Linked DNA regions of Yarrowia lipolytica. The protein of the gene in region 4 interacts with the protein of the main gene of each other region in a pairwise test. Links are inferred from orthologs where the notes say so. Each region holds a gene or a part of one and is shown on either strand. Other genes may lie near its edges. The genes, in order: YALI1_E34525g, YALI1_B18955g, YALI1_F17709g and YALI1_C30119g.

Region 1 (6,173 bases), on a different chromosome or scaffold from region 4:
GGTGAACTCGGCCCGGCAGACCTGGCTGGCTGAGATGGAGTACCTGGTGCTTCTGGATCTGATCGGACACAAGGATACATACATCCCTTCATTCTTCAGAAACACTCACTGGCAGTACGAGGTGTTTGCTTCTCTGGAGCAGCGAATCCGGGATATCGGTCTAAGTGCACGTATGGATGAGAAGGAGACCATCTTCACCGAGGGAAAGCCCGCATTCTTTCGAGGAGCTGTTATTGGTGATGACCACCTCCCCTTTCTGCACCGAGGAGTGCCTGTTCTGCATTTGATCCCCAGCCATTTCCCCCCTGTCTGGCACAAGATTGACGACAACGCCAAGAATCTTCACTTTCCTGACATTTCCGAGTGGGGTCTATTGACGAGTAGTTTCGTCGCCAACCAGCTGCGAGTTGGAGACTGGATCGTGGACTATCCTGACGCCAACGAGATGCGAGAGCAGCGAGAGAAGGAGGAGAAGGCGCAGCGAGAACAGGCGCAAAAGAAGAAGATTCCCAACGGCAAGAAGGTCCCTCGAGCTGCTCGCCGACGAGGTGCTATGCTTTAGGAGACTGGGATTGAAGATGTATGTATTGATGCCTTGCAACAGATAGTACGTACCATGGATGAATGATATACCATTACATTAAATGAGAATGTGACTCGGAGCACTGTTTAAACAACTACCCAGCACCTATATAAACAATGCAGACATGCTCTATAAATGATATTAGTCTATGTGCTGTACAGTGTTAGTATGAAATGTGTAGTCGGTGCAAGGTGTAGTCGGTGAAGTGTGTAGATGTGTGTAGAAGGTGGTAATTGCAGCTTGAAATAACCTCGTTCACCTGCTGGTAGGATCAACTTTGGCGTGTTTGAAGAATTTGAGACCCATCCAACTGACGATACACCAGACCCAAGCCATGACGAGGGACAGGAAGAAGGACGTTGGATAGTACATTCTGATGGGGAAGTCGTCGTCATCATCAGGAGCCTTGTGCATATTTTTGCGGTCTGTCTTCGATCCAAACAAGTAGATATCTAGATCAAACATCGTGAAGACTGCGAAGAAGATCAGAGACCATGTTGTGATGAGTAGGATCCATCCCCAAGATGCGATTTCGCTGTATTCGGTGAGTTTTCGTTGTGTGCGGTTGAGAGACACCAGAGACCCGGGATGGTAGGCCACAGGCACGTGGTGCGATGCAGATCGAGGTCGTTTGGCCATGGTTCGGGACCTCAGCTGATATCACGTTACGTGAATAGTTGGCGCATACAGATGTCTAAGTTCAGGCTCCTTGGGAGATATTTGTTGATTAAAGTACGAGCAGTACTGTGGGTTGGAGGGTTTGGACCAGAACGATGTGTTTCCTGTTTTCGGTTAGAATGATGACGAGAGTAGTCGGAATTGAATACGGAAAAGTTGAATAAAAGTGTACTGTAGAGCAATGTTAGTAATCCCAATCGACTATCAATATCCCCATATTGCAGTATATATAGACCCTTTAGCACCTCTGAGTAAGGTTCCGCGTTAATGGAATGGCGTTACGTTATTATGGAGATAGAGAGGCTGGAGACTCAGAAGTAGCGGCCGTTAAGCGAACCCATGACGTCGCTACAAGTAGCAGGAAATGAGGATATTTAAAGGGGTTGATCTAAGAATATCGGAGGGCAGATTGAGCACGTTGAAAAGATCTTTCTCCTCCATCTCAAACACCATATTTCCTACAGTATACAGTTATTCGACTATGTGTGGAAGCCTTGAATTGTAATTCAATGTGTTTTTAGTTTTGGTCAAACAATGTCAGCAGACTCTGGTCGAGAGGCTGTAGTTATGGGAACTGCGCTTCTTCTATACAAGTATGTAAACGGCTGAAAGTGCATCAGAGTTGGAGGTTGCCTCCAAAGTAGCCCACCACTCTGTAAATAATCACTCAGCTCTTTCCATATTGGCTGGTGGTGTCGGAGCGCCTGTCTATCTTATGGTGTTTTGTTATTAATCCGGCGTTCGTGAAACTCGAACTGGGACGCCATACTTGTTATAGTACTTATAACAGCTACAAGTAGTTAGACTGGTAAGGTGGTAACCAACTTTCGTACTCGGGGCCCACGGTGTGACTCTCCTGTGTTGCAATAAATAAGTAAAAGCCACATACAGTACCTATAGCCACGGCTCCGGCGAGCAATACTGTAATCCACTTAGTCGAAGCCAGGCATTAATGCAAATCCAATTGTTCTTAGACGTTCTCTGATCTGCTGTTACTTATAACGCTAGACTTGCACTATTTGTCTTGTCCCAACTCCCATTCTTCACTCTCCCAACATCACTAAGACCGCATCGTCCTGCATCCACGTGATACGACCACGTACATCTCACACTCTCTTGTCGCAACCCAATTCCCCTCATGTTCGGTTTTGGCAAAAAGGACAATCAGAATCCATACCGGGTTCCTGAACAACACTCTCCTACTCACTCCGGATCCAATTCCCCCCGAACAATGAACAACCCTGGTCTTCCTAGACGGGCACCTACTCAGGGACAGCCCATGCCTCCTCATCACCAGACCCCTCCTCCTCAGCAGCACAGACAACCTCCTTCCGGTCACGGTGGCGATATGATTCTGGGAGTGGGCAAGGACAAGGCGTTTGCCCTGGCCAACCTCCTCGAAGTGCCCCCTGGAACCTTTGCTGACGGAGACTACGTCATTATCAACAACCAGCACGTCTTCACCGTGCGACAGTCGCCACATGCTGCTCCCGGCCAGATCCTTGCCGGAGCAGTGCAGCGACGATGGGCAGCTCTCAGCACAAACATGACTGTCCATGTGGCACCTTACGACCCCTTCCACAAGACACAGCAGGTGTATCTGGGCAACCTGGAGCTGGAAATCGACTTCCTGTCTGCCAGTGCGGCCAGCGGAGCTGGATCCCGATCCTTTGAGCCCGAAAAGCTCGCTCACCACTTCCTGCACCAGTACGCTAACCAGATCTTCACCCCTGGACAGACCCTGGCTATGGACTTCGAGGGCCTCAATTTCCAGATCAGAGTGCTCTCTACCTCGGTGGTCAATCTGGGAGACGCTGGCGGAGTGGCTGCCCGAAACGTCCGAGGTATTCTCGTTCGACACACCGATATCGGTTTCAACAAGGCCAAGGGATCGGCCATGAACCTCAAGAGCGCCAAGAACAAACCCCGACAGAACGCTATCATTCAGCCCGACTTCAAATTCCAGGATCTCGGTATTGGTGGTCTTGATGCCCAGTTTGGTAACATCTTCCGACGAGCCTTCGCTTCTCGAATCTACTCTCCTGCCGATGTCGAGGCCCTTGGTATCAACCACGTGAAGGGTATCTTGTTGTTCGGACCTCCCGGTACAGGTAAGACTCTAATCGCCCGACAAATTGGTAAGATGCTCAACGCTCGAGAACCCAAGATTGTCAACGGTCCCGAAATCCTAAACAAGTACGTTGGTGCTTCCGAAGAGAACATTCGAAACTTGTTCAAGGACGCCGAGGCGGAGTACCGAGAGAAGGGCGATGACTCCGGTCTTCACATCATCATTTTCGATGAGTTGGATGCTGTCTTCAAACAGCGAGGCTCCACCGGTGGAGGTACCGGTGTTGGAGACAACGTCGTCAACCAGCTGCTCGCTAAGATGGACGGTGTGGAGCAGCTCAATAACATTCTGGTTATCGGTATGACCAACCGAAAGGATCTGATTGATTCTGCTCTGATGCGACCTGGTCGATTCGAGGTCCAGATTGAGATTCCCCTTCCTGATGAGGCTGGCCGTCTGCAAATTCTCAAGATTCACACCGCGCCTATGACTGCTGCAGGAAAGTTGGGCAGAGATGTGGATCTTAACGAGCTTGCTGGAGAGACTAAGAACTACTCTGGTGCCGAAATTAAGGGTCTGCTTAACTCTGCTGCTTCTTATGCATTCACTCGAAACCTCAAGTTGGACCAAGGTGGAGGAGGCGTGCGACAGGAGAAGGGCGGAGAGCTCATGCTAATGCGGGACGACTTTGTGCATGCCCTCCAGGAAGTGCGTCCCGCGTTTGGTGTCTCCGAAGAGGATCTCGATGCTGCCGTCTCTGGTGGTATCATCAAGTACTCTCCCAACATTGATGACATTCTCAAGAAGGGAGAGCTATTTATTGAGCGAGTTCGACAGTCTTCTGGCGACCGTGCTCTGGCTTCTCTGCTGCTTCACGGCCCTGCTGGCTCTGGTAAGACTGCTCTCGCAGCTTCCATTGCCATGCAGTCGAACTTCCCCTTCGTGCGACTCATCTCTCCCGAAGGCTATGTTGGTATGTCCGAGGCATCTAAGATCACTGCCATTCAGAACTGTTTCCTGGATGCTTACAAGTCTCCTCTGTCCGTCATTGTGATTGACTCTATTGAGATCATTCTCGAGTGGGTCCAGATTGGACCCCGGTTCTCAAACTCTCTGCTGCAGGCCGTCAAGACTCTGTGTCGAAAGACTCCTCCCAAGGGCTGCCGATTGCTAATTCTGGTTACTACTCATGAGCGACACGTTCTTGAGCAGATGGATCTGATTTCCGCGTTTGACTCCGAGATTGGCGTACCTTACCTACAGTCTCTCAAGGAGCTCAACAAGGTACTGGACGCTATGCAGTTCTTGGACTCTCCCGAGGCTCGACACCGGGTTGTACAGTCCATCGAGGCCAAGACTGGATCTACCGTGCCTTCCATTGGTATCAAGACTCTGCTGTCTGGTCTCAAGACTGCCCAGTACTCTTCAGATGTTGAGGAGGAGTTTGTCGATTTTATGGTTGACCATATAAACGCCCGACGAAACAAGTATGTTTAACGAATCACGATTAGAATAGAATACATGAGATTGAAATGATGGGACAATGGCAGAGCGGAACGGATGCGCAAAACAAACTATCATGAACCAGTGATGGACACAAAACAACTGGTAGCAACCTGGGCAGTGTAGTGCAACAGGACGCGAGTGAACATGTAGGACGAGTTGCATTCACACGCATGCCATAGTTAACCACCGTAGCATTTTCAGCCCACACACGAGCTAACAGGTATCCCAAAACAGCTGTTAGGCGAAATAATAATTATCGTTGAGGGCAGAAACCAAATTAGCGACTACAAGTAGCACTCCGTAGGGTCTTCTGGGAAACAAGTGCAGTGACAGGGCTACTACGGTAGGTACAGTACACATCCTTTAGACTGGCACTATTCAAGCGGATATAACTGCACTTAAAGCACTTTGAGCGAAGTGGTGGTCTTATCGCCGTACAACACAGTATAGTACAGTATACAACCGTAGCGTACCTTGTGCATGTCTTCACTACAAGTAGATACTTACTCGTACTGGGCAATGGTATTTGGCCATCTGACGTCATGTTGGTCCCAGTCTTGTATTGTACTTCACATGCCATTGACTCAGTGACAGTTGCTCGTCTTCTTTGTATGTGAAGAGACTAGCAGTGACATAATATAACCCACATTCTTTTGGTTTAGATCATCTCTAGGGAAACAAAAATGGAAGGAGCTGCCCTAGCCGGTGTAGCGAGATCGTCATCACTGGAACCCCCCAAAATACCACCTCGTAAATAAAATTAAAGGTGGTAGGAGTTGGTTGCAGGGGAACATGAGTTCGGAATTTTCGGAGATTTTTGCAGTTACATTGAGCGTGGTATTGGATTGGGGTAGTAGCTCTTAGCTTGTAGTTGTTGCATGCTTTAGCGTGGACTTCAATCACCGAGTCTAACAGTCGCCGGACTGATTGTTCACCGACCTCCTGTACCTCGATCGGGTTGGGTAGGTTTCAGCGAGGGGGTGGTAGGGTGTGAAAAGCAAAAAGCTATGGGAGGGCGTTCTAGGATAGTACATGTAATTATAGATACTGTGTGGTTTTCTGCAATCGTGAACGTGTTTTATACGTCAACCATTTTATGCGTAACATGCGTTGGTTAGAAGGCCCAATGTGTCTGCCCATGTCAGAATGTCAAGTTTGATCCTGAGCTGTCAGAGTCCACTATGACAGTTGTTCTACGGACTGAGTGCCACAGACAAGGATCTGGGATCTCCAGAAAACACTGCATTCTTTCTAGGCCCCTCCTTCTTACAGCTCTGTCCAAATACAGCTCGAGGTCAAATATTACCAGCTAAATCAGACGTCAATGTTGCCTAC
Region 2 (4,506 bases), on a different chromosome or scaffold from region 4:
CCATCTGCCCTCGTGGCCTCTTTTCTCCCGCTTCAACTCCCCAAACACACCACACGTCTGTGACATTGCTGCGCCCCTCACACGCGACAAATCGAAGGTCAATCTCGCCCAATCGCACATCCATCACACATCCAAGGTCTCCGCCGTCATCCATTCTCCAGGTGCCCTTTAATTCCCCTCTCGCCGCCACCTGCCACGCTGTTTTTTGCATGTGCCTCCCTATTCTGCCCAGTTTTGGGCTGTCGTGTTCATTGCGTTTGTGTTTGCATATGTGTGCCCCATGTGTTTTGCCACGACATCACAACCGCAGAACCGCAAACGGATGATGCGGATGATGTGATGGATTGATTCAATTGCGATGGCCGTTTGCAACCAGCATTGTGTGGTGGGTTTATTCCCCCACACCGAGTAGCTACGAAGATGACTAGATGATGATGATGGTGTGTGACGACGACTGCAACAACCCAGCGAGAAAAGAAGCGGTCACGACGAGCCGATGAGAAACGCAGATGATAACGTTTTGGTGATGAATCCATCATATATCGTGTGAGTACACCCCTCATCAACACAGATACTAACCATTAGAGAGAAACCAAGACCTTCCTTGCCCGGCTCTGTGAGCAGGCTGACCGATACGACGAGATGGTCAACTACATGAAGGACGTCGCTAAGTCCGGTGAGGAGCTTACTGTCGACGAGCGAAATCTGCTTTCCGTCGCTTACAAGAACGTTATCGGCGCTCGACGAGCCAGCTGGAGAGTCATTTTCCCCATAGAGCAGAAGGAGGAGGCCAAGGGTGCCACCCACCATCTCGAGCTTCTCAAGACCTACAGAGCCAAGATTGAGGCAGAGCTCGAAGACATCTGCAGCGATGTTCTTGATATCCTCACCAACCACCTCCTCCCCAAGGCCGAGAACGCCGAGTCTAAGGTCTTCTACTACAAGATGAAGGGTGACTACCATCGATACCTTGCCGAGTTCACCTCCGGCGAGAAGCGAAAAGAGGCTGCCACTGCCGCTCACGAGTCATACAAGAGCGCCACTGATGTTGCCCAGACTGAGCTCAGCTCAACTCACCCCATCCGACTTGGTCTCGCTCTCAACTTCTCCGTCTTCTACTACGAGATTCTCAACTCGCCAGACCGTGCTTGCCACCTTGCCAAGCAGGCTTTCGATGATGCCATCGCTGAGCTCGACACTCTCTCCGAGGAGTCTTTCCGAGACTCTACCGTCATTATGCAGCTTCTGCGAGACAACCTGACCCTCTGGAAGAACGACCTCGAAGAGTCTCTGCAAGCCCAGCAGTCTGAGGAGACCCCTGCCACCGATGCTGCCGCTGCTTCCACCGAGGCTGCTGCCCCCAAGGAGGAGGCCAAGCCCGCTGCTGAGGAGCCCAAGGAGTAGAGTAGTGCTTTAATTTTTATGTAAAAACAATTAAGAGTGTGATGGAAAGGTTCGTATAGCTATAATGAGGCTCCCTCACAACACATGCTTGCAAAAGAATTCGTGTATGTCGTATTGTATTTTGAGGTGTTTTAATCAAATGATGAGTCATACTGGTGAAACAAAAAGACATGAAGCCTCAAACGTAGTGTTTCAGGCGTCTCTTCATACAGTGAGTTTCAAGATGATGATTTGACTGTAGTTGGCTAATTGTATTGTTATTACTGTTTAAGATGGACCACTTCTACATACAAATAGTCACCAAAGCGTTAAGTGCGCGGATGTCGTCCGCACATGTGCACACGCAACACTGCAGCTAAGTTCGGAGGAGTGTATTTTTGGAACTCTGTCGATTAGTGCCTAGATATACCGTACATGTGTAAACGAAATCATGTGAGCCGATATATCCCCGCTGAGTCTAGTCCTAAGCGGATTTGGTTGAGTCTACAAGTACTCGTAGGAGTAGTGACTGCTCTTGTGTGTCGGGGGTATGATAGTGGTCGGGTAATCTGCTGCTGCACAGTCATATCGAGTTTGGATAAGTGGACTCATCGTATCGTAGTTGCTTGTACTCGTGAGTGAGAACGATGTACAAGGAGTCGCAAGCTCGACAAGACAGCGAGCACTTTAACAATGTACGATTGGGCAAATAGAGGAGGTTTGATGGGTATAGACTTGGGTCTAGTTGATGGCATGGCTTATCTAGATCCTGAGGCGTAATTTTCTACTCTAATTAGTCATGAATTTTGCTGTTTGATGGGTACTCACACATGTACTTGTACTTATCTTGTAGTCAACTCAGGCCTTGTTACTGTAACACTTGTGGGGTGATAGAGTTCGGCTCTCTTCGGGACACTGTGCAGTGAGAATACAACATACGTGCAGTTTGTCCACCAAACTTCACCTTTCTACAACGAATTGCAAATCAACAATGGGTGTGGATATTCAACTTAAGGACGGCTACACAATCTGTTTCCTCGGCTGCGGTACCATGGGTACTGCCGTGCTAGGAGCTGTGCTCGATTCTCTAAGCAAGGGTAACAAGGAGGGTGACGCCCCGAAGCCCGGCAAGTTCATGGCCTGTGTGACCCGACAGGAGTCCGCTGACCGATTGCACAAGGATCTGACCTCCTCTGCCCCTGACATTCCCGTCGAGATTCTTATCAATGACAACGGATCTGCCTACAAGGCTGATGTGTTTGTTCTCGGATCCAAGCCCTACATGGCCGAGAAGATCCTGACTCCTCTGCAGCAAATGCTGGAGGGCAAGGTTCTGGTTTCGCTGCTTGCCGGAAAGACCATTGCCGACATTGAGAGCTACTCTGGCCGATGCCCCAAGCCTTTGGTTGTTCGAGCCATGACCAACACTCCTTCTCGAATCGGAGCCGGTATGACCGTTCTGTCGTTCCCCGATAACGCTACCGTTGACGAGAGCGTTGTCAACGCTGTGTCCTGGATCTTTGAGCAGACCGGAAAGTGCATCACCCTCGAGGAGAAGCAAATGGACGTCTCCACTGCTTTGTGTGGATCTTCCCCTGCTTTCTGCTTCCTCATTATCGAGGCTCTGGCCGATGGTGCTGTTCGAATGGGCATGCCCTACAACACTGCCTTCCAGTGTGCAGCTCAGTCCATGCTGGGAGCTGCCAAGATGGTTGTTGAGTCTGGCCAGCACCCTGCCGTCCTCAAGAGCGCTGTGTGCACTCCTGGCGGAACCACTATTGGAGGACTGCTTGCTCTGGAGGACAAGGGCGTTCGATCTTCCGTTGCTCGAGCCGTGGAGGAGTCCACTAACATCGCTAAGTCTCTTGGTGGCGGTGCTGCTAAGAAATAAGTTGTTCTTGGAGCTGGGCTAGTTTTGCCTCGAGGTCCATGTTGGTTCCCAATGTGGTGACTTTTGCGCACTCAGGAGTGATCATGAGCATGTCGAGTACCTTTTCAGGTTCATTCAGAGTAATCTGGGTTAGCAAGGGGACGGATCAAACTGTCGAACGGCATATATATAAGAAGAGAAAATAATGGAAATTCTACCTGATGATTGTCAAGACCAATAAGAAATACTCACTTTAGCTCCAATGATGTCCCGACGGTGCAGTTGAGCAACACGTACCCGCTCGATGGCGTAGACAAGCTGCTGGTTAGAGTCAGACAGAGTCAGCTTCAGGGAGCCCTGCCACAATGGTGTCAGTTTCTTCTGAACGTCTGCTCTTAGCTCATCGTTGTTGACCTGTGGTGCCGCAGCTTGTGCTGGACCCTCGGCCTCGTCATCGCCATTATCTTCCAGCTGCACCACGCGATTCGCTGAAGCTTGGATCTCTTGTTCCAACCACTCCATCTGCCGAATAAGAGACTGCGACACGTTTCTAATGTCGACCACGGTGTAGTCTTGAGCTGTAGCCAGTCTTGCCAGTCGCGCCATATCTTTTTTTTGTTTTTTTTCCGCCGTTTTTAGATGAGGCCGTCGGGTCAAGCTATTGCGACTGATTTTATGCGTGGCCCATTTTAGGTGCACAACACCAATTTTTGTCCAGACAAGAGAAAGCAACGCCATTGAAGTTTAGAGCCACTGGAACAACGTTAATTTTGGTTTGGATACCAGTACAAGTACAGTACAAGTAGAAGGGAAAATTTAAAGGCGCCTAAACGCACATGTCTATGCATTGTTCTGAAGCAGTCCCGTAGCTGGGGGAATGGTAAGCGGCGACAGAAGAGCCCTCGTCAACGTGCTTATACTCTGTGAACGACAATATTATGTAAGAGTCCCAAAGCATCCACAGTGGACATGTTGGTCGAAGAGCTTCAGGGATGCCGCGTGAGCTGAGACTCACATGTGACATGTACAGTATTACTCCCATGGGTCTCTCCCCTAACATCCATAGATGTACGTTGCCCTTTCGGGCTAGACGAAAAGGTATGGGAGATGCAAAGCACGCCAGGACCTTGTTCTTCGACTCTGTCACTATCCGGACGCCCTCCTAGCCAGTGCTAAGCTGCTATGAAGAAGACGCTCAATCTCAAACAGCTCAAGAGCAAAAAGGACGTTCCTTACGAGGACCCCCACAAGGA
Region 3 (4,284 bases), on a different chromosome or scaffold from region 4:
GAGATTCGAAGACTACTCAAGGAAGAGGGTGTGGAGCAGTATGACGACGTGGACGAGGAGGAGTCCCGAACGCAGTTTGATTCGTTCATTCCTCGAGCCCAAAAGAACGATGTTGTCGTCGGAGCCATCCCCATGTTTGCCCCTTGGGCAGCTCTGTCCAAGTTCAAGTTCAAGGCAAAAATGGTGCCTGGAACCGTCAAAAAGGGCAAGGCCGTCAAGGAAATCGTCCACAAGATGACCACCGCCAAGACGGACCCTACCATGCAGGACACCGACATGCCCTGGCCCAACGAGATTGATATCATTGGAGGACTCAAGGACACTGAGCTGGTACAACCTGTGGCTGTTGGTCGAGTCCGACTTGTCATGCCCGGTGTCCAGGGAGGTTCTGGCCCCTCGTCTAAGACCAAGGGCTCCAAGAACCGAGGCAGAAAGAAGCGATAGACCATGTTTGCATATAGTAGTAATTGACCATGAAGATGATGTAGATGGAAGACATTTGGTACGATACTGTACTTGTAGCCCTCAATGGTACAAACAACGAGATTTTAGATGATTTCTAGCTACAACAAGTCCAATAGATGACAGTTTGTCACAGGACTTACTTTCTGTTCAACGACAGATTATGACCAGCAACTCATTGACTCAATGAGACGACCCTTCAGCGAACAGCCGACACAAAATCGCATTGATTATTTGCAAGTATGAGTACAAGTACAACGCCTGTAACTTCAATGGTTCTTGGTTCAAGAATTTAGTTAGCACAATATGCCGGTACTTGTAGACGTTCACCGCTGAATGTCATTGTGATGAATAAGCGGTCGATACTGTTCAATTGAGCCTGTACAATCATGTTTACACCCGCAAACTTGGTCTATTGTCCAAGTACAAGTACGCAGCTCACAGCTGTCGCCTGTCTTAGTTACAATTTGATCAAGCGTAACAGCACTTGGAGGATCGACTAACACTTCAATACGACTATTCAATTGAACCAATTACGATTGCAAAACACACAAAAACACAATATTTATCTATAGTACAGTACTTGCAACGCAAGCAGATGGCCCTCACCGAGCAGCTGGGTCACAGTCGCGCTACATGTTGCACAAAATCCATCTTATTACCTCCATATACATCCTCCATCTAGCTGAAAAACTTGCCAGCTCGCTGCGACCACTTCTGGTACACGTTCGAGATGGTTTGTTCGTTGATCTCCACTCCTCCGTACGCAATGCTTTCCTTGGCGGGTGCGGGGGTGACTCTACTTGCGATGACGACGGGATCGATCTCGAGAATGACGCCCGAGTCGACGGCCTCATCGATAGCCAGAGCCACCAGGTCAAAGTGTTCGAGCACAGACCGCTTGTCGAACGAGTGCTTGAGCAGAATCTCCAGCGCGTCCTTGATGCCGGCAACCAGCTGGTACAGCATCACCTCGTTCTCCTCAAACGATCCGACCACGTACAGAGTCACGTCCACAACCGTCTTGTACACGACCACCTTGTTGTCGAAGATGATGACGTCACCATTCTGTCGATGGGTTTTCTGCGCCAGGCCCTTTTCGAACGTCTGCTGGTCCTTGAGTGTCGTCAGGGTCTGAAGCTGCTCGTGTGATTGCACGTCGCCGTGTGGGGGCGAGTAGTACTTGGTGAAGAGTCGCTTTCCGTCCTTGTCCAGCAGCAGCACTGCCTCTACCGAGTATTCCGACGTCATGATTCTGTGTGGTTGTGTGAATGTGTCGTGATCTGCCGTTCTAGAGAGCAGTTAGGTGTTATGTTACACGTAGCGAAGTTTAAAATGCCCAACCTCCATCTCCAGTTTAAAACCTTAGTGACAAGGGATGGAGACAGACAGACACACCAACCTAGTGACGACAAACGCGGCACACGCACAATCCGCATAAATACAGACACAAACGCAGCCACAGACACATACGCGGACACAAACGCAGCTATCCTACACCACACACACAAAAGCAACGCACACGATTGCAACACACATCCATTCCTCTCTCCCACACTTCCTCCATGTCAGACTTTTACTTTGCTCTGGCCCGCATATCAGTGGCGCAACTGCTTCGAGTGGCCGGTATCGAACGATGCCCGCCTTCGGTGCTGGACACAATCACAGACCTGTACATTCGGCATCTCGATCTGCTGGCGACGGAGACGATGAATCTGGCGCATCACGGAGGCCGATTTGACGCCATCATCACAGACGTGGCACAAGCCATGGCAAACACACATGTCATCAAACCAGTGGTGCTACTCGACCCCTACGATACCGATCCTCAGGGCGACCAGGGCATGCAGGACTTTGTCAAGTGGGCCAAGGGACCTGGACCAGCAGAGGCCCGGAGAATCAGCAGAGTAGCAAACAACACTGGCCAAGCTACACAGCCAGCAGCAGCAATGGCGCCGTCCACGTACGGCATCACGGCGAAAAAACAAGAGGACGCCGCCCCCCAGGAAGAGGTGGAGTGGCTGCAGGGACTCATCAACAAACAGACCAAGATGGTGGGTCCAGCGCGTTTCAAAGATACCGTGCTAGGACCGTCATTCGAAGACAAGCTGGACCTGAAGATTGCAGGAGGACCCAGTATGGAGGAGTTTTTCGAATCGAGACAGGAGACGACCAAGTCGTGACGGACAAGTATCGCCTGGCTCCGCCCACCACTTTGCATGGCACCTGCCCCTTGTATTATAGCATTAATATACAACCCTGGACCTTTTCCTGGCTCAGGAGACTACCTACTTGGCGTGAAAGAACAGTTAAAACCTTTATTGTCCTGTGATGTTCAATTGGACACTTATATGTAGCCCCACTGGCAATGCTAACCAATATGACTTCTGTTGGTCTTTGTTGGCCTCAGCCAGCCCTCTAGTCCTTTACTACAATTGAAAAGCTCATTACTAATATACAGTCATTATCATAAATAGTTACATCCTTGGACCACCTTGCTTAAACAATAGCAGTGTTACGCTCCTGTCGTGACGCCATCTTTTGGATCATTTCTGTGTTGATCCTAATAGGCACAGGGCGTTGCTCGCCGACGGACGACGTGCTCACCATGGAGTGCATACGGTCCGAGCAGTCGGCTGCGTCCGAAGGATGGAGACCCCCGGTGTTAGTCTCGGAGGTCTCGCCAGCCATGGCCGGCGTAGTGAGATTGTTGAGGTGGGAGACCTGCATGGAGGGCGTGCGGAACCCGGAGCTCTGGCGCTTTCGAATGGCCTCAATGCGCGCGCGTGCAGCCGGGTCGCCCATCATCTGGTCATATCGTGTCATGATTTCCTTGGTAGTGATGTCTGCAGTCGCGGCTCGCAGATTGGTCTCCTTGAGCACCTCTAGAAGATCGGCAGGCACCTCAGAGAACAGTTCATGGTGCTCAATGAGAGTATGAATAGCCTCGATGGCCAGAAAGTAGCCATCACCTCCACCTCCAGCAGAAGCAGCAGCAGCAGCAGCAGCGGCGGCGGCAGCAGCGGCAGCGGCTGAATCAGCAGAGCCAGGAGTACCGGCACTTCCAGGACCATGGTCTTTTCCGGTGGGCTTGGGATAGAGAATGTTCGGAGTGATGACGGTGGCGAGGTTATGAGCGTCCATCTTGCTACCGCTCTCTTCGTCAATGTGAGAAAAGGAGGCTACCCACTTGAGAAAGTGGAGTAGCACTTCGGTCACGTCTCTGTGAGACCTGGGAAGCAGACATACAGCCAAATGAAGCACTCGCTTTCGAGTTGTGGCATCCTCGATCTTCTGGGACGAAATCCACAGCTTGTGCAGCTTAAAGGTAAAGAGAGGATTGGGCATCTCTCGCAGAAACTTCTTGAACAAAGCAGCATTCTGCACAGAGTTCTCCTTGGCGAAATCAGACGTCTTGGTGGCGCTCTTATTCACCTCCTCCGTCACAACCTTGAGCCGTCGGATGTTACCGTTCTTACGGAAGACACCTTCAATGGTCATGTCCTGAGTCTTCATCACATCAATACAGTCCTCCACAAAGCGCGGGATGCGCATCTTGTGCTGTGGGGACACGCCGAGATGTGATTCGACTCCAAACTTCTCAGTCAGAATGTCCAGGTTGCCGCCAAAGACCACAACGGAATCCTTGTCGCTCTTGTCGTTCTTTTCGCCCTTTGAGCCCTTGCGAGGAGGAAGACCTCGTTCAGCAGCTGCACGGTAGTCGAAATCCCACGAGGCAGTGTACTCGCCGTCGTTGGTTTTGCCTCCAAATGCTTTCCCAAACTTTTCCCAGAATGATAACGACTTTTTCACGTCAATCAT
Region 4 (5,848 bases):
TTACACGACCATTAGACCACCCCACCCAGAAGTCGAAGCGACCCATTCTGTCACCTCACAATACTCCTACACCACTGGTATTGTTCAGTTACTGTGCTCGTATGACTACCACCTTTACAAGTGGAACAAGTGAAAATACCACCCCGTGATCCCAATAAGTACTTACAGCACAACCACAGAGCTAGACAAGCTACCATGGCCGCCTTCCTTGGGCATCAACCAAACTCTGACATCTACATCTCCCTTCACTTTCAATCTAGTTATCATACATGCTATGTAAGAACCTCTTAAATAAGGGGTCGTTCGGACTTCCACACGTGGTTGTGCTTGAAGGCCTCGGGGGCAGTGGCCTGGTCGACCTGCTTTCGGCCCTGGCCGCCGTTGAGTCGCAGATCTCGCTCCATCATCTGGGAGTCCCACTGGTCAATGGCGAATCGGTCTCGGACGCCTCCGTTTCGGTAGACGTGGAGAACCTGCATGGCTCCACCTCCAGCGGTGAGGAGCTGAGTTAGTCTATGAATGGGGGTTGTGGTCGTGTGCCTCGCGACCTTGACGGGATCGAACTACTCCGAGGCAATAAACAACAGTCTGAGAGAATAGGGAAAAGCGAAGACATGTGAGATCTGATTCCAAAGGATTCTGCGTGATACAGACATATCCCCTGCCGGCTGGGAATACCATGTCAAAGTCATTGTACGTCAGAGACTTACTGTAGCTTCCCTTCCACAGTAATGGAGTGGTCCGGTATAGCTGGTATCACAAGCATCGTTCATCAATCGTCCAGGGAATGTGGCACCTCCACTCTCGTATCGAATCGCTCTCCAGAATTTCTGCATTCACTCCTGTAACTGTCGTCTTGTAGTGTACCTCCTGTCCGGTCAAATCACAAGTCCAAAGCCATAGCTCGAGCCACAAAGCCGCCGTCTCATACTTACACCAAAAATGATACCGTAAGGGAGCAATGCCTCAAAAGGAATAGCCATTTTGTCGTGTGTCTGGTTGTGTGTTAGAAGCTGTGATGTCACTGCAAGCCGAGTTACCCAAATTTTGATTGGTGGGAGGGACGCCCTCCTAACCCTGACTTTGGAACTTTGTTTAGTAAGCGATGAGACCATTGAAAGAGATCTACTCAGCGTGATAACAAACAAAGGCACGATCAAACAGTCACATGATATAAATTACTGCTACATTCAAAAACAACCATCTCAAACCATTTCTCTACACCATCTCGACAACTGGACTATTCATACCTCTTCTACACACTTTAACGTGACATGATATCCAAGTAAACTGTTGGGAGTTAAACTAAAAATACTGTAGTTTTAGAGTAAACTCTTCGACCTCGAGCTGGACAAGGAGCTGGATATCCCCCCTGGATACTTAATCACTGTGCAATACTGTACAAGTACAAGTACACTGGATACTTCCTACAATATGTACAATATGTAACTCACCACTTCCACGGTGTACTCCGCAACAGCTCGTGCCATGCTCTCAATCTACTTATACAATGATATTTATTTAACATGACCTATTTCTACGTCCACCTCTAGCATTCCCTCTTACAAGGTGTTGGCAGCCTCATCAACCTCCTCCTGCATCTTGACCTCAACCTCAACCTCAGCCTCAGCCTCGGTCTCGGATAACTCATCCACAGCCGCGGGGTTGGGCTTCTCGGGTTGCACGTTAGTCACGGCCTCGACCTTGCCGTCCTCCTTGATCTCGACAGGAGCTCCCAGCTTGGGTTCGGCAGCCTTCTCAGCGGGCTTCTCCTCAAAATCAATCAGGTTGCCCTGAGGGAACTTGTCGGGTTCTTCACTGGGGGAAGAAATGGACTCGGCAATCTTGTCCTTACCGTTGGCGACCAGGGAAGCCTTCCACTGACCTACAGACTTCTCCACGTTACCCTTTCCGTACGACAGAGCAACGAGAGCAGCCTCCGAGTGTCGACCAGTCTTGTTAAGCAGATCAACACACTGCTTCACGGCACCGATGGACCACAGGGCGTTGAAGGCAACGTTGTACTTGCCAGCATCGGCAGCCTTGTCAGCCACCCACTCCATGCCGGCTCGGTTTCCGGTGGCCGAGTACAGCAGCAGCAGAGACTCGACCTCGGCGATGGAAGAAGACTTGAAACACTTCTCGGCCAGGTCGAAGTTCCAGGCGGCAGTGGCAGCGTCTCCAAGCAGCTTCCATCGGTGGTCTTGAGGCGATCGCTCAGCAATCTCAGAGGCCACGGACAGGTCGTTAAGTGCAAGGGCAAGATCAAACTTGTGCTCGTCGTCGGTGCTCACCTCCAAAGCAAGCTCCTTGAAGCCCTGGGCCTCCAGGAACTTGGCCACCTTAGACAGCTCCTCCTCAGGGATTGCAGGGAGGAAGTCCGACTGCGCAAGCTCGACGTCGCCTCGCAGAACAACAGTCTGGTATTCAACGAGAGGCACAGACAATCGGTACGACGACACATTGACATCCTTGTCACACAGGTAGATACGCGAGTCCTTGGACACAAAGCCAAGCAGGTACTTGGCCTTATCGAAATGTGCGACTGTGTATGTGACGCCGCCAACCAGGTAGTTGAGTCGGTTGACGGACGAGGTGTAGACGAAGCAGTCGAGCAGCCACTCTCCGGACCGAACGGAGTCGGAAATTTCGTGCAGCAGCTCAAACGACTCCTCCACACCGTCCTCGTCCACGTTCTCGGCCTCATCAACCGCGTCCTTGTTGTATCGCAGAACGTAGAAGGCGTCGGCCGAGGTGATGGCGACCAGCTCGCCAGAGTCAGACCAGTGCACGCCGGTGACACCCTCCACGTCAATTCGTCGCACCAGCTGGCCAGTCTCCCACGAGTACATGGCGACAAAGCCATGACCCTTCACACCGAGCAGGGTACCACCGAAGATGCCCTCAACGGAAAAATTGGGGTCTACATGGCCCAATGGCCGCTCCTTGAAGTTCTTGTAGACTCGCACGGAGCTGGGGGACTCAAGCACAGCGTACTCGCTGGAGTCCTGGGCCCAAACAAAGTCCAGACCGGAGCCGTAAGCCTTGTTTCGCCATGCCAGAGCGGTGTAGATGATGTACTCACCGTCACCAACAACAGCCACAAATCGGCCGTTGGGGGAGTGTCGCAGGAAGGTGGGGAAAACCTCGACGGATCCCAGCTCCTTGGGCACCAGAGCAAGGGATTCGCCGTCCTTGGCGTCCTCGCCCTTAACCTGAGCGGAATAGACTTCTCCGTGCTTGCTCCACACCAGCTTTCCAGAGCTGTCCAGAGAGATGGCAGGGTCCTCCTTACCAAGACGGAGGACAACCGCGCCGGCATCAAAACCGACAGCCACGAGGTTGGAGCCTCGCTTGACACCCACACACCAGGCTCGCTCATAGCTGTAGTTGAGGGTCTGCTCGAGCTGGTAGGTGTTAGCGTTCCACACCTTGACGGTATTGTCCTCGGCACCAGAGATGATGACGGGCAGATCGGGATGGAAGACAGCGAAGGACACGTTGTTAGTGTGGCCCTCCATGGTGGCGACGCAGGCCTTGGTCTGGTAGTCCCACACCTTGACGGTCTTATCGTCCGAAGATGTGATGAGGTAGGGCTTGTCAGCACCGGGATAGTATTCGACGAAGTTGACGCCGGCGGTGGCATGGGCCTCGAGGGTGAAGTTGGGCCGCGACACGGTGGAGGCGCCCGACAGAGACCACACCTTGACGGTTCGATCCAGACATGCGGAGGCAAATGTGTTTGTGTCCTTGGGGTTGAAGGCCACGTACATGATGTAGTGGCTGTGGCCCAGGTACTGTCGCTCCATGGTCCAGTTTGTGTCCCAGTTCCACAGCCGGATGGACATGTCGTCGCCGGCGGTCAGCACGTAGGGCAGGGTGGGATGAACGGTGATGACACGGATGTAGTCGGGGTGGGCCTCAAACTGGGCCTCCTTGGCTCCAGTGTTGTAGTTGAAGACTCGCACAATAAAGTCGTCGGAGCCAACAATGATCCAGTTTTTTCGGGCAATGAACCGACCGGCTCGAAGAGGAACATCTGCCACCTCGATGCTCTTGACCACCGTCTGTGTCTCGTAGTTCCAGATCTGGGCCACTCCCGAGTACAGAGTGGTGAGTAACCATGGCTCAGTGGGGTGGAAATCGATTCCCTTGACTCGGTCAGAACGAGTCTGCGAGTGTCGCTGTGTTAGTCGTCGTCATGGCCGCGTGAATCGCTCAATTACTCACCTTGATTTCGAGCTTCATGGTGTAGTGCTACGCAGAGTGCAATAGAGAGTTTCATACGTGTACTTGTAGTGTTCGGTAGGGTAAGTAGGAGGAGTGATGGCGCTGGGAAATGCTCTGCTCAAAGAAACATCTCCGGGGGACACAATATTGTATAATAGAGATGATAAATGGACAATAGGAAGCTTGCTCTGAATGTTCCAGTTCTCTCTCAAGATAAATACTTCCAAGTCCCACAACTTTTGGCACCAATTACGTCTACACACACACCTGATGTACAGTGTACTCGTGCTCGCCTATTGATCTCACACCACAATATGTACACGTAATGTCCCAACACCCCCAAAGGACCACGGTTTTTACCTTGGTGCTGCACGATTTTGGCTTCCGTTTTACGTGTCAGCCAAAATTCATATCGGTAGGAGATTGCACAATGACGGGAGATTGTAGAGGATAAGCGTGGAGATAAAAAGGAAGAGAATTGTATGTGAGGAAAAACGGACAGTATATATACTCTTTTGCAGCACCTTCTATTGCTCCCAAACACCTCCTATACCAGTACCAAAGCGTCAGCCCCACCCTGGACTCAGTCGGATGCACGTGAAGCCGCCGGCTTAACCTTTTTGCTACATTCCACCTCACTCACCAACTTATCATCACACGTTGTCCTACTTCTTCAACTACTAATCATGTGGATTGTCAACTGGTGTGAGTATGGATGGAATACAGGGGCACTGATTGGTCGCTTGTGTTTGTGTACTTGTTACACAGACGCGGAGGCTAGCGGAAAAAAAGAAATCAGATCAAGTGGCGATACACGATACACGACAAGCTCTACAGCGACACGGGGGCTTCGTGACTTGAAATCCCGGAGGTGAAAACACAGTTAACAGAGACTGGCGACTTAGGGCTGTTCCAGAGACTCAAAAACAGGTACCGATGCCGTTTTTTGCCCCTGTTGCATTCATCAAGTTGCGGTTTGATGCCGTTCAGGGTTGCTCAACCCCCTGAAGATACACGGTTGCTCTGCTGTTATACCCTAAACAGTCATACGGTGGTATTCAACACAAGCAAACTCTCTGTGCCGTTATTGTACTGCTTAAACAGCAAGTCTGCTATCGTATCGCCGCTCAATTTCGCTTCACTCGCTTTTTGATTTGCCCCCCTTTTGCTAACCTAGTCTACGACGTTCTGTCCTCTCTCGGACTATGGAACAAGAACGCCAAGCTGCTCTTCCTCGGTCTCGATAACGCCGGAAAGACCACCCTGCTGCACATGCTCAAGAACGACCGAATGGCCGTCTCTAACCCCACCGTGCACCCCACCTCCGAGGAGTTGTCCATCGGCAACTGTAAATTCACAACCTTTGATCTCGGTGGACATATCCAGGCCCGACGAGTGTGGAAGGACTACTTTCCCGAGGTCAACGGCATTGTTTTCCTCGTCGATGCCGCCGACCCTACTCGATTCGCCGAGTCCAAGGCCGAGCTCGACTCTCTGCTTGCCATTGAGCAGCTCAAGACTGTGCCCTTCTTGATTCTTGGAAACAAGATCGACATGCCCCAGGCCGTTTCCGAGCTCGAGCTCAAGGACGCCCTTGGACTGTACCAGACCACCGGTA

What was found.
Region 1: the proteins of YALI1_C30119g (region 4) and YALI1_E34525g interact in a protein complementation assay, tested with the Saccharomyces cerevisiae proteins (2 studies listed by BioGRID). The link is inferred for Yarrowia lipolytica from reciprocal best matches to the Saccharomyces cerevisiae genes SEC27 and SEC18.
Region 2: the proteins of YALI1_C30119g (region 4) and YALI1_B18955g interact in a protein complementation assay, tested with the Saccharomyces cerevisiae proteins (2 studies listed by BioGRID). The link is inferred for Yarrowia lipolytica from reciprocal best matches to the Saccharomyces cerevisiae genes SEC27 and PRO3.
Region 3: the proteins of YALI1_C30119g (region 4) and YALI1_F17709g interact in binary tests that used the Saccharomyces cerevisiae proteins (3 or more experiments, as listed by UniProt). The link is inferred for Yarrowia lipolytica from reciprocal best matches to the Saccharomyces cerevisiae genes SEC27 and RET3.

The regions. Positions count from the first base shown.
Region 1 is NC_090774.1:3,450,120-3,456,292, forward strand, and holds YALI1_E34525g (uncharacterized protein), read left to right. Parts: upstream 1-2,399; coding exon 2,400-4,829; downstream 4,830-6,173. Other genes in the region: YALI1_E34494g (uncharacterized protein), read left to right, coding at 1-562; YALI1_E34513g (uncharacterized protein), read right to left, coding at 839-1,222. UniProt on the Saccharomyces cerevisiae protein: Required for vesicle-mediated transport. Catalyzes the fusion of transport vesicles within the Golgi cisternae. Is also required for transport from the endoplasmic reticulum to the Golgi stack.
Region 2 is NC_090771.1:1,893,163-1,897,668, forward strand, and holds YALI1_B18955g (uncharacterized protein), read left to right. Parts: upstream 1-2,374; coding exon 2,375-3,274; downstream 3,275-4,506. Other genes in the region: YALI1_B18930g (uncharacterized protein), read left to right, coding at 586-1,404; YALI1_B18971g (uncharacterized protein), read right to left, coding at 3,482-3,991; YALI1_B18975g (uncharacterized protein), read left to right, coding at 4,436-4,506.
Region 3 is NC_090775.1:1,768,394-1,772,677, reverse strand, and holds YALI1_F17709g (uncharacterized protein), read right to left. Parts: upstream 1,714-4,284; coding exon 1,144-1,713; downstream 1-1,143. Other genes in the region: YALI1_F17756g (uncharacterized protein), read left to right, coding at 1-444; YALI1_F17706g (uncharacterized protein), read left to right, coding at 2,028-2,645; YALI1_F17657g (uncharacterized protein), read right to left, coding at 2,962-4,284. UniProt on the Saccharomyces cerevisiae protein: The coatomer is a cytosolic protein complex that binds to dilysine motifs and reversibly associates with Golgi non-clathrin-coated vesicles, which further mediate biosynthetic protein transport from the ER, via the Golgi up to the trans Golgi network.
Region 4 is NC_090772.1:3,008,149-3,013,996, forward strand, and holds YALI1_C30119g (uncharacterized protein), read right to left. Parts: upstream 3,849-5,848; coding exon 1,563-3,848; downstream 1-1,562. Other genes in the region: YALI1_C30086g (uncharacterized protein), read right to left, coding at 288-503, 936-983; YALI1_C30130g (uncharacterized protein), read left to right, coding at 4,917-4,935, 5,408-5,848. UniProt on the Saccharomyces cerevisiae protein: The coatomer is a cytosolic protein complex that binds to dilysine motifs and reversibly associates with Golgi non-clathrin-coated vesicles, which further mediate biosynthetic protein transport from the ER, via the Golgi up to the trans Golgi network.